Astyanax mexicanus: one gene and its partners. Each later gene encodes a partner of the first gene's protein in a complex. Links are inferred from orthologs where the notes say so. Each region holds a gene or a part of one and is shown in the gene's direction. Other genes may lie near its edges. The genes, in order: gins4, gins1 and mcm4.

The links.
Region 2: the proteins of gins4 (region 1) and gins1 are in contact, whole or in part, in a crystal structure (PDB 2E9X), measured with the Homo sapiens proteins. The link is inferred for Astyanax mexicanus from reciprocal best matches to the Homo sapiens genes GINS4 and GINS1. Residues at the interface, in NP_115712.1 of Homo sapiens: Met55, Glu59, Glu83, Arg84, Arg86, Tyr87, Leu89, Ser90, Leu93, Arg94, Leu97, Glu101, Phe104, Glu125, Glu126, Phe129, Glu132, Phe133, Asn136, Thr137, Tyr140, Leu141, Val144, Ala145, Leu146, His148, Met149, Pro150, Pro151, Asn152; in NP_066545.3 of Homo sapiens: Phe24, Leu29, Leu33, Met36, Tyr40, Leu69, Leu70, Arg73, Thr76, Val77, Leu80, Tyr81, Leu84, Arg88, Trp92, Glu109, Glu110, Trp113, Asn116, Tyr117, Ser120, Leu121, Tyr124, Ser127, Leu128, Gly129, Gly130, Asp131, Leu134, Ile136.
Region 3: gins4 (region 1) and mcm4 share a complex: the UniProt entries of both Homo sapiens proteins name them as parts of the CMG helicase complex. The link is inferred for Astyanax mexicanus from reciprocal best matches to the Homo sapiens genes GINS4 and MCM4.

What each region holds. Positions count from the first base shown.
Region 1 is NC_064419.1:27,448,144-27,452,936, reverse strand, and holds the start of gins4 (DNA replication complex GINS protein SLD5), read left to right. Parts: upstream 1-1,922; 5' UTR 1,923-2,145; coding exon 2,146-2,247; intron 2,248-3,707; coding exon 3,708-3,794; intron 3,795-4,793. Other genes in the region: cytochrome c oxidase subunit 5B, mitochondrial, read right to left, coding at 183-279. UniProt on the Homo sapiens protein: Required for correct functioning of the GINS complex, a complex that plays an essential role in the initiation of DNA replication, and progression of DNA replication forks.
Region 2 is NC_064414.1:30,474,614-30,479,406, reverse strand, and holds the start of gins1 (DNA replication complex GINS protein PSF1), read left to right. Parts: upstream 1-1,501; 5' UTR 1,502-1,677; coding exon 1,678-1,752; intron 1,753-2,908; coding exon 2,909-2,973; intron 2,974-3,080; coding exon 3,081-3,179; intron 3,180-3,856; coding exon 3,857-3,947; intron 3,948-4,040; coding exon 4,041-4,157; intron 4,158-4,793. UniProt on the Homo sapiens protein: Required for correct functioning of the GINS complex, a complex that plays an essential role in the initiation of DNA replication, and progression of DNA replication forks.
Region 3 is NC_064413.1:412,830-417,622, reverse strand, and holds the start of mcm4 (DNA replication licensing factor MCM4), read left to right. Parts: upstream 1-1,586; 5' UTR 1,587-1,677; intron 1,678-2,834; 5' UTR 2,835-2,846; coding exon 2,847-2,904; intron 2,905-3,297; coding exon 3,298-3,450; intron 3,451-3,745; coding exon 3,746-3,876; intron 3,877-4,001; coding exon 4,002-4,103; intron 4,104-4,665; coding exon 4,666-4,761; intron 4,762-4,793. UniProt on the Homo sapiens protein: Acts as a component of the MCM2-7 complex (MCM complex) which is the replicative helicase essential for 'once per cell cycle' DNA replication initiation and elongation in eukaryotic cells.

The sequences.
Region 1 (4,793 bases):
TGTAAGTGTCAGATAGATAAAGTCATTAACTGAACCCGCAGCAGGATGTGAGCGCCCTAGCTTCGTCCTTCAGTCTCTCAGGGTGAGCTAAGCTAAGGAGGCTAATCTGATCATTAAATACAGTTTCCGCTGCGGCTGTTTTTCACTCAGACGGTTATAAATGAGAGTAAAGAGCGGATCACCTCCAGCTGCGAACCCCCGAGCAGCGGCCTGGACCGGGGCAGCCCGCCTGGAGAGAGCGGCTCTCACCGCAGTTCGGACGAGGAACCTGGACGCCATTCTGCTGCTGAACGGGATCTGAAGTGAGTCCGACTGAGAGGAAGCTTATCTAAACCAGCTTCCTCTACAGAGAGCGGAGGACTCTCCTGCCCCTGCTGTCAGGAGGACTAATCCACTCATTACAGTTCAGTTCATACACAGGGGTCAAATAACTACAGTACAAATACTTATTTACCTTACTGAAGTAGAAATGTTGATTTTCTATCTATACTTTACTGGAGAAACAAGACCTTTAACTTCTACTTCTTACATTTACACACAATTATCTGTAAGATGTACTTCTTACATTTCTCCACTTCACACTGCAGCAAGGATATACAGCTCTAGAAAAAAATGTGACCACTTCAGTTTCTGAATCAGTTTCTCTGATTTTGCTATTTATAGGTAAAATTTCTGAGTAAAATGAACATTGTTGTTTTATTCTATAAACTACAGACATTTCTCACAAATTCCAAATAAAAATATTCTCATTTAGAGCATTTATTTGCAGAAAATGAGAAATGGTCAAATTAACGAAAAAAGGATACAAAGCTTTCAAACCTCAAATAATGCAAAGAAAATAAATTCATATTCATAAAGATTTAAGAGTTCAGAAAATAAACATTTGGTGGAATAACCCTGGTTTTAATCACAGTTTTCATGCATCTTGGCCTGTTCTCCTCCACAAGTCTTACACACTGCTTTTGGATAACTTTATGCCACTCCTGGTGCAAAAAAATCAAGCAGTTCAGCTTGGTTTAATGGCTTGTGACCATCCGTCTTCCTCTTGATTATATTCCAGAGGTTTTCAATTTGGTAAAATCAAAGAAACTCGTAATTTTTAAGAGGTCTCTTAATTTTTCCAGAGCTGTAGCAGACATATGTAGCCTAGTATAAAGATGTCCATTTACATTGTACTAAATGCATTCATTTTCAATGGGCGCATATGTGGCTGACACAGGGATGGCACTGTAGTGCAATTGTTTTCAACATTTTCAGATTTTAAAGTAACATTATAGTCATTATGTCTTTTAGATTTTTTTTTTTAAGTTGTGCACTACAGGACCCTGTGGCACAGCCTAAGCTTTTGTTCTTACTGAGATCAAATATCCAACCAACCAACCAACCAACTCTTTTTTTGTAAAAAGAGTAAATAATAGTAATTAGTAAATGAATTAGTGAAAAAAAGTAGAACGCAAAGTAGTTGACGCAAAATTAAATTTATTATTTTCATGATTGTATTATCGTTCATTATTGTTCATGTTGTTACAAATATAAGATATAAAATAAGAATTGTTTGCAGAAAAAAAAACTAAATAACAATAGATAGTAAATAAATTAGTTTTATAAAATTGATTTAATGCATTTAGAATGTATTTTTATTGTTTGAATTTTTTTTAATTTCATTATTTAGATTTTGATTTTATTAAATATGTAAATATTGACATAATGATTTAATAACAAATTTTTTTTTTTTTTTTCAATTTGTCATATATCCTGCACATTTTGCTGTTTTATGTACAAACTTTCTAACCTCTGAGCAGGTTTACGCATAACCTCACCATAACAGCATAACCCACTGTTTTGGATATTATACACTGCGCAGATCTACGGAGCATAACCTCCGTGAAGAAATAATGACGACACGGGAAACTCTTGCTGTTTGGCGGGAAATCTTAGTGCGCGCTGTGTGTTGGTGTGTGTTGTTGGTCTGTGTCAGTGAGAGGCTGCTGTTAAACTACTGACTGTGTTTACAGACGCGTTCAGCGCGGTTATCCGCTGGATTTTGCTCTGTGATTGTGTTCATCTTGGTCAGTTAACCCTGTGCTTTAGGAGAAGGACGGTGTTAAAGACTCGTATCTCCGGGTACGTTAGGAACTTTGGGTCATGGCTGATGATGAGTTGTCGGACGCTGGAGATCTGAGCGGAGAAGATGAGAGTCAGGAGGACGTTCTGACTCCAGCTGAACTCATCTCCAGGCTGGAGGAGGTCAGTCGTTTCTTTAACCTTTACTGCAGAAGCTGGCGGCTCTGTTTCACCGTGCAGATCTTTACCTGAGGCTTAGGACTGTCCAGTAGCAGCAGGGTCTCTCAGCTCCTCTGCCTCTAAACAGGCTGCTTGCTCTCTGTACTGGAATAAGGAGACTCTGCTCTGAGAAACAGTCTGCTGCTGTTTAAAGCAGCAGTCCGTAAGATTTATTTATTTTAAATTGACAGCAGTTGTATAACCTACCTGAGTGAAAAGAGGACAAAATATTGTAATAAATGGCGCCAGAATGCCTTCATAAACAAGTCGCATACATTCTAAAACCAGGGTGTTTGGAGTCAATGTAACAGTGATCTGTTATGTGTTTTTAATTAATGATCATGAAATAATTTTTTAAGTTTTTTATTCAGTTTTCTATTTATTTTTTTTTGCATTTTGTAGCAAAAATCTGATGGTTTAATCATACCTACCTTCTTTTTACAAGATGGAAAATTGTATTTTATATTAATTATTTTTTGTGTTTTGTCCCTTGTTACATTTTCCCCCTTACATTAGTTTTACTTTTATACTTTAAATAGTTTTGAAACCAGTACGTTTTAATCTTTTGAGTAAGCAGCAAGGTGTAAAAAAAAGTCAGTGTAACCTTCATGTGTTTTGAATTAATTCTTTTTTTTTTTTTTTTTTTTTTTTTGCCACTAGTGATCAGAAATAAAAATACATCATTTTTTTTATTTTTTTTATTCAGTTTTCTGATTGTACAGTTTTTGCATTTTGTAACAAAAATCTGGTATACTAATGGTATAATGATATCTATTTTCTTTTTACAAGATGAAAAAAATAAATTTCATGAAACTTCCTGTAATTCAGATCATGAGAGACAGAAATGAAAAAAGAAATTAATTGAAAACTAGTTGTTAAGTGGACAAAATTAAATAATGAAATGTATTAATATTTATTAGTAATGAAATCTAATTTACCTTAAAGTTGAACTGATTAACGTTACACTGACCGCTTGTAGGTCCAACTGGGAGTTTTCGGTCCACAAAGAAACAAGCACGCGATTTTACTAGATTGTAGTAGGACATTGCTGTGAGATCAGGATGTTGGATCAACACCCCACCTTATCTTAAACTCACCAACTCAGCACAAAAGCACTGAATGAACCACAGTAATTTATCAGAACACAACAGGCATGGTGCCAATAGGTTTATATGGTGTCCATATTGATCATGTGATTACTTCAGAATCTCACATTTAGTTTTTTAGTTTTAGTTTTTTTTTTTTCTATAGAGTTTATACAAATCATGGGTTAGAAATGAGGGCAGTTTAAAGTAACTGAAATGTAAAGAACTAAGCAGAACATGTGTCTGGATATTTTTGGATATATGGTGATTTTGATTGTTATTATTATTTTTTTTTTTTGTGATTACTTTGTATTAATAAGCTGTTTTTCTGTTTTTCAGGCCTGGCTGAATGAGAAATTCTCCCCAGAGCTTCTGGAGAACAAGTCTGAATTGGTGGAGTGTGTGATGGAGCAGCTCACTCACATGGTAAGGATGGATGATGAATGGGATGTGAAGAAGCAGTATATACGTGTGTGTGTGTTAGCTTTAGGGCTAGAAGTCAGACTGCACTGCAGGGTTTTTGGATTTAATGCTTTCTAGGGCACATTTAGCCTTTTTTTATTCTTCTATCACCTCAGGAGTTCCCTAATATGGAGCTTCAGCATTCTGGTGCATAATCCTCATTTTTATAACACTCATAATCTCTGGTAGAGCTGACTTCAGGTTTCTGCTGTAACTCATCCACTGCTAAAAGTGCCTAATGGTCTTCTGTAAGTGGTATTGCCTAAAGCAGTCATCTGATGTACATTCAGATAAAACCATCAGATAAATAAGGCACCCTGTTTACCTAAATATATAATAAATAAATGAAAGCTATAGGGATTAGATGAATCTTTGTCTCATACCTTGTCTGGAAATTAAATAGTGTTTAGCCTTTATCCAACTTTTTTTTAATGTAAAAAAGGGTAGATACTAGGGTAAACCATTTCATACATGGTAATATAGTTTTTAAAAATTGAAAGAAAAAACACAAATTCTTGTAATAATATTACAATACTTAATACATTACAATACAATAATAATCGTAATACGTATTAGTGGTATTCTGTTTTTAAATTAGTCATTTTTTTATTTGTTTTGCTATTTTCTGTGAGGTTTTTATGGATTATTTTTGTAAATATTTTTATGTTTAGAGTTTATATACATAACCTAAATATTCTGCATGTTAACATTGTGATATATATTTTTGTTACGTGTTGTGATATGTAGTGTTTTGTCATATTACCAAGAATATCTTTATTGCAGAAATACGATATTGTCCACCCCCCAGTGGTACCTCTTTCTCTCTAACAATACTAACAATATACTTGCCTGCACTGTTATGGTTTCCTGAGAGCACTAAAGACATAAAGATTGTAGTTTTTGTTTTAAAATGCCATTGGCAGATTATGCTAAATAGTATCAGCTTATATCAGTATGTTTTCT
Region 2 (4,793 bases), on another chromosome or scaffold:
AAATAGGAAGACCTGTCAATCAACTTGCCCTCAGCTGCCAATCACCACATCGCCACACCCCTTTAAATATCACGGAATAACTCCTATAAAACGTATTAACTGTAAAGACAAACCCTAGGGGTTATTAACACAGGAGGGGGGCTTGCAGAATGTACAGAACCTTCCAAAAATTAATGTGTAATTTTAGATTAAAGATTCCGCCATCTCTCATACAGGTGAATGGATGGGGTTAAAAGCTGTACTGGAACCAGCCACCAGAGGGCGTAAGAGACGTGGTGGCTTCACTTTTCAACCCCTGTTGTGCTGTCCATACTTATTTATATACAGTCTATGGGGCATTCTCATGCTCGTTTAAATAGTTTAATATTTTTTCTAAAAATAGGCTAAATAGCCTAAATTATTGACAAAGTATCCTCAAATACTTATGAAAATTTTGAAAAATTAAATAATGTGTTAATTACCCATACCAACTAATCCTGGCAGCACTGTGGACATGGCAAAACCCCACTAACACATCAAATAAAACTGTATAAAATGTCCACAAGGTTCTCTAAAGTGAATATTAACATATTTGTAACTATATCTATATTTGTAATGTGTTCATTCAGTGTTCATCTTCAGAAATGTATTGTTAGTATTTGTAATGTTTCGCTCAACAATGAATGGTCCATAAATACCCATAACCATGCATATTAATAAATATAAAAAATAGTGCATTTAGTTACAGGATCATCAGATAAACATTTGCCTCCAGACATACTGTTAGTCCTTAAATATTTGGACAGTGACACTAAACTGGATTTCAAATGAAACACTTGAGGTGTTATTGAAGTGTTTCAGGTTTAATTTAAGGGGCTGATCAAAAATATCCTATTAAGTTTTTAGGAATTATAACCTTTTTCTACAAAAGTCAGAGGCTCAGAAGTTATTGGACAAATGAACTTTACCATAAATAAAATGTTAATTTTTAATACCTTCTTGAGAATAAAGGTTGAAACCCACTGACATCACCAAACACTGTTTTTTTCCTTTATGGTGCTTTGCCAGGCCTTTACTCTAGCAGTCTTCAGTTGTTGCTGGTTTGTGAACCTTTCTGCCTTTAGTTTTATCTAAAGTAATGACTTAATGTTGCTTGATCAGGTTCAGATCTGGTGATTGACTCGGCCACTGCAGAGTATTCCACTTCTTTACCTTAAAAAAAAAACTCTTGGATTGTTTTTACAGTATATTTAGGATCATTGTTCATCTGTACTATTCAATGCCATCCAATCAACTTTCCTGCACAAAATACCTGTACACTATATAGCTGTACACTTCAGAAATCATCCTTCTACTTTTTTTGCACATGTTCTAGGAGGGCCCCATGTCTTTAGAGAATTAAAAATAAGGCTTTTCATTAATTTCTAATGTATTATTGGAATAAGCGTACGTTTACTTTTACTAGATTTTCTGACCAGACGGAGTGTCCCACTTTGCGTTCCGTAGTTATCGAAAGGGTCACGTGATCAAAACACCGCATTCTGCCGCGAAAATCGTGTGTGAGGAGCAGCGGGAGAAGCACAGACTGATATAACGCTAACATACAGTCTATGAATACAGTTTGTATTAAATACAGTCTGTATTAAACAGCGTTAGTTAACTAAGCTACAAGGTCCTACTTTATATATCAGTTTAATCATGTTCTGCGAAAAGGCTGTGGAACTTATTCGAGAGCTTCACCGGATGACTGATGGCCAGCTGCCCGCTTTTAACGTGAGTATATTTATTATTTATAGATACCCTGCATCCATTCAACTAACCAGACTGAATAGGCCTGGGTTAATGTGATTATAATAAACGTGATAGCTGAAATAACTGTATTTATGTTTTTATTTAGGAAACAGTGCGGCTTTTTGATGTCACTAAAGTAGATGCTAAGCTAAACCAGTTTAATTAAATCTTGGTTAGTGAACTGGTTCTGAAACGGGTACGCTGAGCCATATAGTTTAGCTAGCTGTAGATACAGAAGCAGCACAGATAGTAGGTTAGCTAGTAAATAATAATAATAGTAGTCTGATAATATTATTGCACAGTGTGTAGCTAACCTACATAAGTACATACAATAAATATAAGAAATGACAAGAACTACAACAACAGAAAAATACTTTGTTATTGTGTTGTGCACTGTGGACAGTGTAGCAGGTAAAAAATGAAGATACATGGTCTTTTTATAACAAATAAAATGGTGAAACTGATGACTAAATCTCAAATAACAGGTGAATAAGATGGAAGTTGAAGGTTTTAGGTTGGCAATAAACCATTTGTTTAGTGCATATTTTAGTTCCTTTCTGAAGGGTTTTAATTGTGGAACGAGCAAAATACAATAACTGGACTTTCTGAAGTTATCTCCTCATTGTAGAGGCAGGCCAACATGATTCACCTTCATGTTTTTACCTTTGAGTTCCTACCTTTATCTCTATGCTTAGGTCTGTCACAATAATTACATTATTGACTTATTGTACAATAATTAGTCATGACTACAATCATTTTTTGCTGAACTCAATATATTGTCTGACGTGTTTACTTTATTAGAACATGTTTATTTTTTGGTTTTACTTATTACTCCTACAAAATTTACTACATATACTACATTTTTCATATTTTAGTTTATTGTTCAGTTTAGTTCAATGTCTTAACATCCTTAATTATCAACATTCTTTGCTCTTTAAAAGAAATATCGCATTAGTAGGCTATTTTGTTATTATATCAGTGGCATAAGTTGGTCTTAAAATGGTTATACAATTTTATTGTAGTTTTTTTTGTGTAATAATTATTGCGACAGGCGTACATTCACTCTAATATACAGTATTAAGGGTGCAGAAGTCCATCTTACATGTGCACAAGTAATAACCAGCATTTATCTCTGCAGGAGGACAACATTCGGCAGGTGCTTGAAGAAATGAAAGCTTTATATGAGCAGAACCAAACTGATGTGTAAGATACCAACTTTCTTACCTTTTGCCATCTGTGATTTTCTTCAATCCCATTACATTTCGTGTTATATCTGATTAACAACATATCTGTTTTGACCCTCTTAAAAGTAATGAGGCTAAAACTGAAGGCAGGAGTGAACTGATCCCAACCATCAAGTTTCGTCACTGCTGCTTGCTGAGGAACCAGCGATGTATCACAGCCTACCTGTGAGTAACCTGGATCTGCTCTAATACTACTCAAGTAACTCTAAGGGCTCTATTATACAGGTCAGTTCCTCTGCTGAGACAGGCAAAAGCGCTGTGCTGTTAAGATATGAACGTGCCAAAGTCAGAGCACACCTGGCTCTTGAAGAGAACGACGACTGGCACACTGATTGGTTTATTTTATGTTAGACACAAAAAATACAAAAGAATTAGTATTTCTTGACACCAAAGACACACCGAAACATCCAAAATCAAGCTGTGCGATCCACAATTGACCGATACACTATAGTTCACTAAAATAGAGCCCTAAGTCTTAATTTATATACATTCATTGCTCACAGGACATTCAATATTCATTATTATAATAAAGGTTCTGCACAAGTTTAGCAAAATTGCATTTTTTGTTGCATTTTATACTCTACATATTAACCATGCAAATGTCTTTGTTACAAACTGGCTATTCAGTGTTTTCCAGATTGTCTATTGTGTATATTAAATACATATAGTAATTTCTATCCCCTTTTCTATTATTTATTTATATGAATTTTATAAATATATCTACATATTTGTTTTGAGGTATATTTTGTGCATTGTTTTCCTGTTCTTCTACTTTATTACTTGATCTAATGAATATCAAAGTATTTCACTATTACTTTTACACCCCTATCCCACTTTAACAGTTATGATCGCCTCCTTCGAATCCGTGCTCTCAGATGGGAGTATGGGAGTGTGTTGCCCACCACGATTCGTTTCCACATGTGTGCAGAAGAGGTGTGTTTTTTACTTTTAAGACCAAGTTATTCAGTATTTCCTTATTTGGAAATGAGGTAATACATATTTCATTTTTTATTATTAAAACTGCAGTTGGAGTGGTTCAATCAGTACAAGAAATCCTTGGCCACTTACATGAGGTCACTTGGAGGAGACGAAGGCCTGGATATAACACAAGACATGAAGCCCCCCAAGAGTCTGTATATTGAGGTAAGATGTCTTACAGCCACAAGAGATGGTATGGTGTAATGGGTAACACCACTACTTTCTCTTCTTTCGCTGGTTGGACAAACACTCCACCAAAGACTCTGAACACACCTAGTTGTGTAGCATGACTCAAATCACACAAAAACAGTATCTCCAAAACAGAAGCTGTACGAGAAATGGAAAAAAAAAAAACTTTACGTTTAATTTTTTCAGATTTCATTCCATAATGAAAAAAAAAAAAAAACATTTCTTTTTATTTTACAATATTTTAGCCTAGCCAAATTAATCCACTGACTTACTATAAACTTTCATCCTCATTTGTAATGTCCTTGGTCCCTAACAGGGGTAGGGCAAGAATATGGCTCCTCCCATATGTGTGAAGTCAGCCACCACCTCTTTTCTACCTGTTACCAGAGGAGCATAACTTGAATCTGACAGATGTCAGTTATGGCTGACATTAAAGATTGTGTGAACAGCTTATACTAAATATTGGATTTGGGCCACTTTTACCCACCAACACAGTCAGAGGAGAGCACCAGGTCCCTAGCTCTGATAAATCAGTAAAAACTGATGCCAGCCAGCTAAGCTAAATTAAGAGTGATAAAGGGAGAGAGAGCATGGCTAATTGTGCTCACTTAG
Region 3 (4,793 bases), on another chromosome or scaffold:
ACGGGTTTTCCTTTGGCACTCCCTCCTGGTGTTACTAATCCCAATCCAGAACTGTCTGTTCCCTTTTTGTGTGTGTGTGTGTGTGTGTGTGTGTGTGTGTGTGTGTGTGTGTGTGTGTGTGTGTGTGTGTGTGTGTGTGTGTGTGTGTGTGTGTGTGTGTGTGTGTTTTGTCTGAGAGCAGGGCCAGAGACAGACAGCAGGATGTCCATGCAAACAAGTTAATAAATTATAATGAAATAAAAAAAGAGGCAAACTACTGAACTTAAGTTTTTGTGTAATTATTGCTATATATTGTTTTTTATTTTATACTTTATACTAATTTTGTGTCATTTATTGATTTATAATGTTTAAAATGTTCAACTGTCAAATGCTGAATAATAAATAAAGATAATAAAAGTCATTTAAAAATCAATATATTCCTAAAATATTCCTAAAGAAAATAACTGCACTGTCCTGTCTGTTAAACTGTCTCGTCTGCTGTATTTATTGTAGTGTTATAGTTTTATGTCGCACTATTTTTACACTTTTGCACTTTATGTTGTCTATTGTATTATTGTTCCATTTTGCACTACAGTTCCAGAAAAAACGCAATTTCGTTATACTGTGTACCTGGACTCATATGTAATGACAGTAAAAGACTCTTGACTCTTGAAAAATCAAACATTTCATGTCCTCCAAACCTTTCATTGAACAGAAAAGGATTTTCTATGACCAACTCTTGTAGCCCTTTTTCGAGCCAAGGCCTGTTAAGAGTTTACATTAACCCCTTAATGTCATCTAATTTACATAATGAAGGTAAAATTAAAACTAGCTCCTTTAAATAGTAGATTGTTCGGCTTCTACAGCCCTGTTCCCATTATTTCAACAATTTGATCGCTTTAATTGAATGTTTTAAGTTCCATATCACTAGCTTTAAAGGACTTCTGTAGCAAAAAATGCTTTATTTTCTTTTCTATAATTATAAACGTGTTTATTTATTTTTAATGCAATGTTACATGGCTTATCTACTTCCAATACAATGAGACGCACAAGTGAGTTATTAATAAAAGTATTTTTTTAAAATATGTGTGCAAGAACATGTAAAAAAAAATATATATATATATTTGTCTGTTTATATTCTTACTATATTCTTGTAAAAACTAGTGTTTTATGCTCCCTTGCTCTATAACTTTTGATTTAAATGATTAGTTTATAATTTAGATTATATTTGATATATTCACAGGGACTCCCTAGCTTTCAAAAATCGTATTTTTCCTTCAAAAATATATAATTCCTACCATAAAGGGTTAAATAACAACCCCTTATTTAAGTCACGTGGTAGCTCTTCTTTGTCGTCGATATTTGCCGCGAAAACTGTGGATCAAACCAATGTGAAACAAAGCTTTTGTTTATAACACTGATTAAAAATCGCAACTTTAGTTTTATTTTTTAACTTTGTAAGGTATATTTTGTATAAAACTTTTATAAATAGTCATTTTTAGTTGGTAACTTTGTTAAAAACACTTAATATCGATTTAAAACAACAATATCTATTTAGCTACCTCCCTCTGTACATATGGAGTGGATCGTTCCAAGTCTGCACGTCTGTTTGATTGGTCAGAATTTCCCCGCGAAAACGACGTCACGCCAGCGATTTCGCGCCACTCTGCATGTATTTGGAGAGAAGGATCCGCAGTGGTAAGTTCCTCGTGTTTTTTCTTTTGTGTTAAAAAACGCGAATAATTTAAAAACAAGCAAAAGTTAAAACAAGAGTTTTAAAGCGATTCTTTATAATTATAAGGTGTGATTTTGTGATTAACGTAGCTGGAATTACTAATCACTAATTAGTAAATATTAAAAACGTTAAATAAAGTTAGTTGAATTAGTAAGACTTTGGATTTTGATGTTTTGTTATAATAATAAAGGTGTTTTTAATATTGATATGTAGTTAACGATGTATCTGTATGTAAATACGCACGTTTTGTTGATGTTTATCTATGTTTAAACATCTAAAATACACTATTTTACTGATTTTATCTGCCCAGCAACAAGTAGTGGCAAATCCAGGTCCCGAAAGTACGAATCCGCACCGGGATTTCGCACCAACTGCCTGGGCGGCTCTGCTGCAGCTGAGCTGCAGCAGAGCCGCCCAGGCAGTTGGAGCGAAATCCAGGAGTGGAATTGCACTTTCCGCACTATTTTACTATTTTAAACCACTTTTACTATTAACTATTTTACAATTTCACTGTTTTACTTTTTCAGTATTTCAATTCTTATGAATTTATAGCGAAATCCCGGAGTGGATTCGCACTTTCCGGACTAAATTTACTATTTGTACAAACTCTGACGGTACTAATCCACTGTTTCACTATTTTACTTTATTAAGTTACTGTTTTCATTATGAACTGCTTATGGAATTGGAGCGAAATCCCGGAGTGGATTTGTCCTTTCCCGACCATTTTATTATTTTAACTCGTTTTACCAATCCACTATTTAAAAAAAAAAACTATTTTATCTACCTAGCAACTAGAAGTGGCAAATCCAGATCCGAAAAGTTTGGATCCGCGCCGGTGTTTCGCCCCAACTGCCAGGGCGGTTTAGAATAAAAATACTAACTTAGTGAAGTTTGTTATATACTAAAATTAGTAATTTTTTTTTAAATAAAAAAAGTGCAAATCTTGGCAGCTGGAGCGAAATACTGTAGTGGATTTGCACTTTCCGGACCTGGATTTGACTGTAATGCCTCTTTTTAGCTCTTTGTTTCATGTGGAAATAATAAAAAAAAAACTTTGCTTGTTTGCTTACTTTACTGATTTAACATTAACTAACTATGTGTAAAAATGTTTTTATTTTAGTGAGTGTTCAAAATGTCTTCCCCATCCTCGAGCGCCCGCAAGCGAGGCAGGAGCAGCAATCCTCCAACCCGTGAGTTTAAATACAGTTTATTTATTATTTTACAAGAGAAATCTGGTGTGAAATGCACTTAGGTTGTAATAAAACATGATGAAGAGTGTTAACTTTTAACCTTCGTGTATTTGAAGGTAAATACAAGTACTGTCACGATTATATTTTGTAAATCATTTTATCTATATTATAAATTATATTATAATTTTATGACTATTTAAATACCACTGATGTCATAATAAGGGAGAGCATAATATAGCAATTATACTCTTAAAGACAACATTTGAATTAATCATAGATCTATATTTTATTTCTTCACCTGCTGCAGTCTGTTCACACTGTGTATATGGAGTCACTGATCTTTTGTCTGTTGTTTTAATAGTTTAATTGTTTTATTTGTTTGTGTGATTTTAGCTGGTAGTGAGGATGTCCTGTCTCCGTCTCCTCGCGCTCGTGAGCCGTCTACAGGAGAACTGCAGCCCATGCCGACGTCCCCGGGTACAGACCTGCAGAGCCCCGCGGTACAGGACACCTCCCTCTTCTCCAGCCCCATGCCCCGACGCTCCGGTACTACATCTATCTATCCATCCATCGCCAGGGTTCAGGAGAGAGTACTCAGCTAGAGCTTTGGGTATTTTCTGGAGCACAGAAAAGTTATTTAGCAGTTGGTGCACTAACAGGCATTGGGGGAATGCAGGCGCTATCTTGGCAGGTTGATTGAATCAAACGGTTAGTCGCATATTTGCAACAACAGGCGTTAAGGGGTTAATTCTAGATACTTAAAGGTCTAATTCTAGCAGAAATGAGACGCATGCATAAAGAAAGAAACAGGAATATGTACTAAATGCTTTGTTTGATCCAGTTCCTCAGAGTGAAGTGGATATGAGCTCTCCTCTCATATACGACACACCGAGCAGAGGAACGCCGGCTCGACAGAGACCTGATCTGGGGTCTGTCAGAAAGGCTCCGCAAGTGGACCTGAACTCTGACACGGTGAGTGTTAAAGTCTGAGTTATGATTTGATTAGTTCGATTAGTTTAGATCAGTGTTGTATTGATTAGTATTGAGTTATTAGTGTGTGTGTGTGTTAATCAGTGTGAATTTTCTCCTCCTATCAGCCGTCTGGAGAAGCTGCTGTAGCCAGTGAGCAGGCCGCTGGTCAGAGACTCGTCATCTGGGGAACTGATGTTAATGTGGGAACCTGTAAGGAGAAGTTTCAGGTGAGCTCAGAGCAGCATCACACAACATTTCCAAACCTTCTGTTGCAGAACTTTCCTCTGTAGAACATCATAAAATATAATAACACGACACACGAAGAAGAAATGCTAATATTGGAAATATTTTTCAGTTTTTAGCGTGTAGCTACGCACTTTCACCTCCTAGTAGATTTCACATTTCTCCTAATGAGTGTGTGTTTATCTACTGAGCCATTCACTACTTTCATTCACTCTTCATTTTTCTCCAAACTGTCGACACATCACTGCTCGCTCTCTCAGTCTTCAGTTCATTTCCTCTATTAAATCTCACATTTAAACTCAGTAACTTAGAACATCACATTATTCTCATTTTAAAAAGCATCAAACCTATAAAAAAAAGCTCTATATACTTTGCCTAATACTTAATTCACACTCATATCAAACACAGATCAGCCACAGCATTAAAAACAGCTCCTAACATGTATAATCACCTTTATTGTTTCTGCTACCCAACATTAATCCTAGATTTCTGTATTAATCGTTTGAATAAATGTGACTGAAGTGTGTTTTGTATTTTTATTGGCAGCGCTTCCTGCAGCGATTTATTGATCCGGAGTCCCGGGAGGATGAGAACGCAAGTCTGGATCTTAATGAGCCGCTTTACTTGCAGAAACTGGACGAGGTGAGCAGAGTGCTGGAGTCGCATGTTGAAAA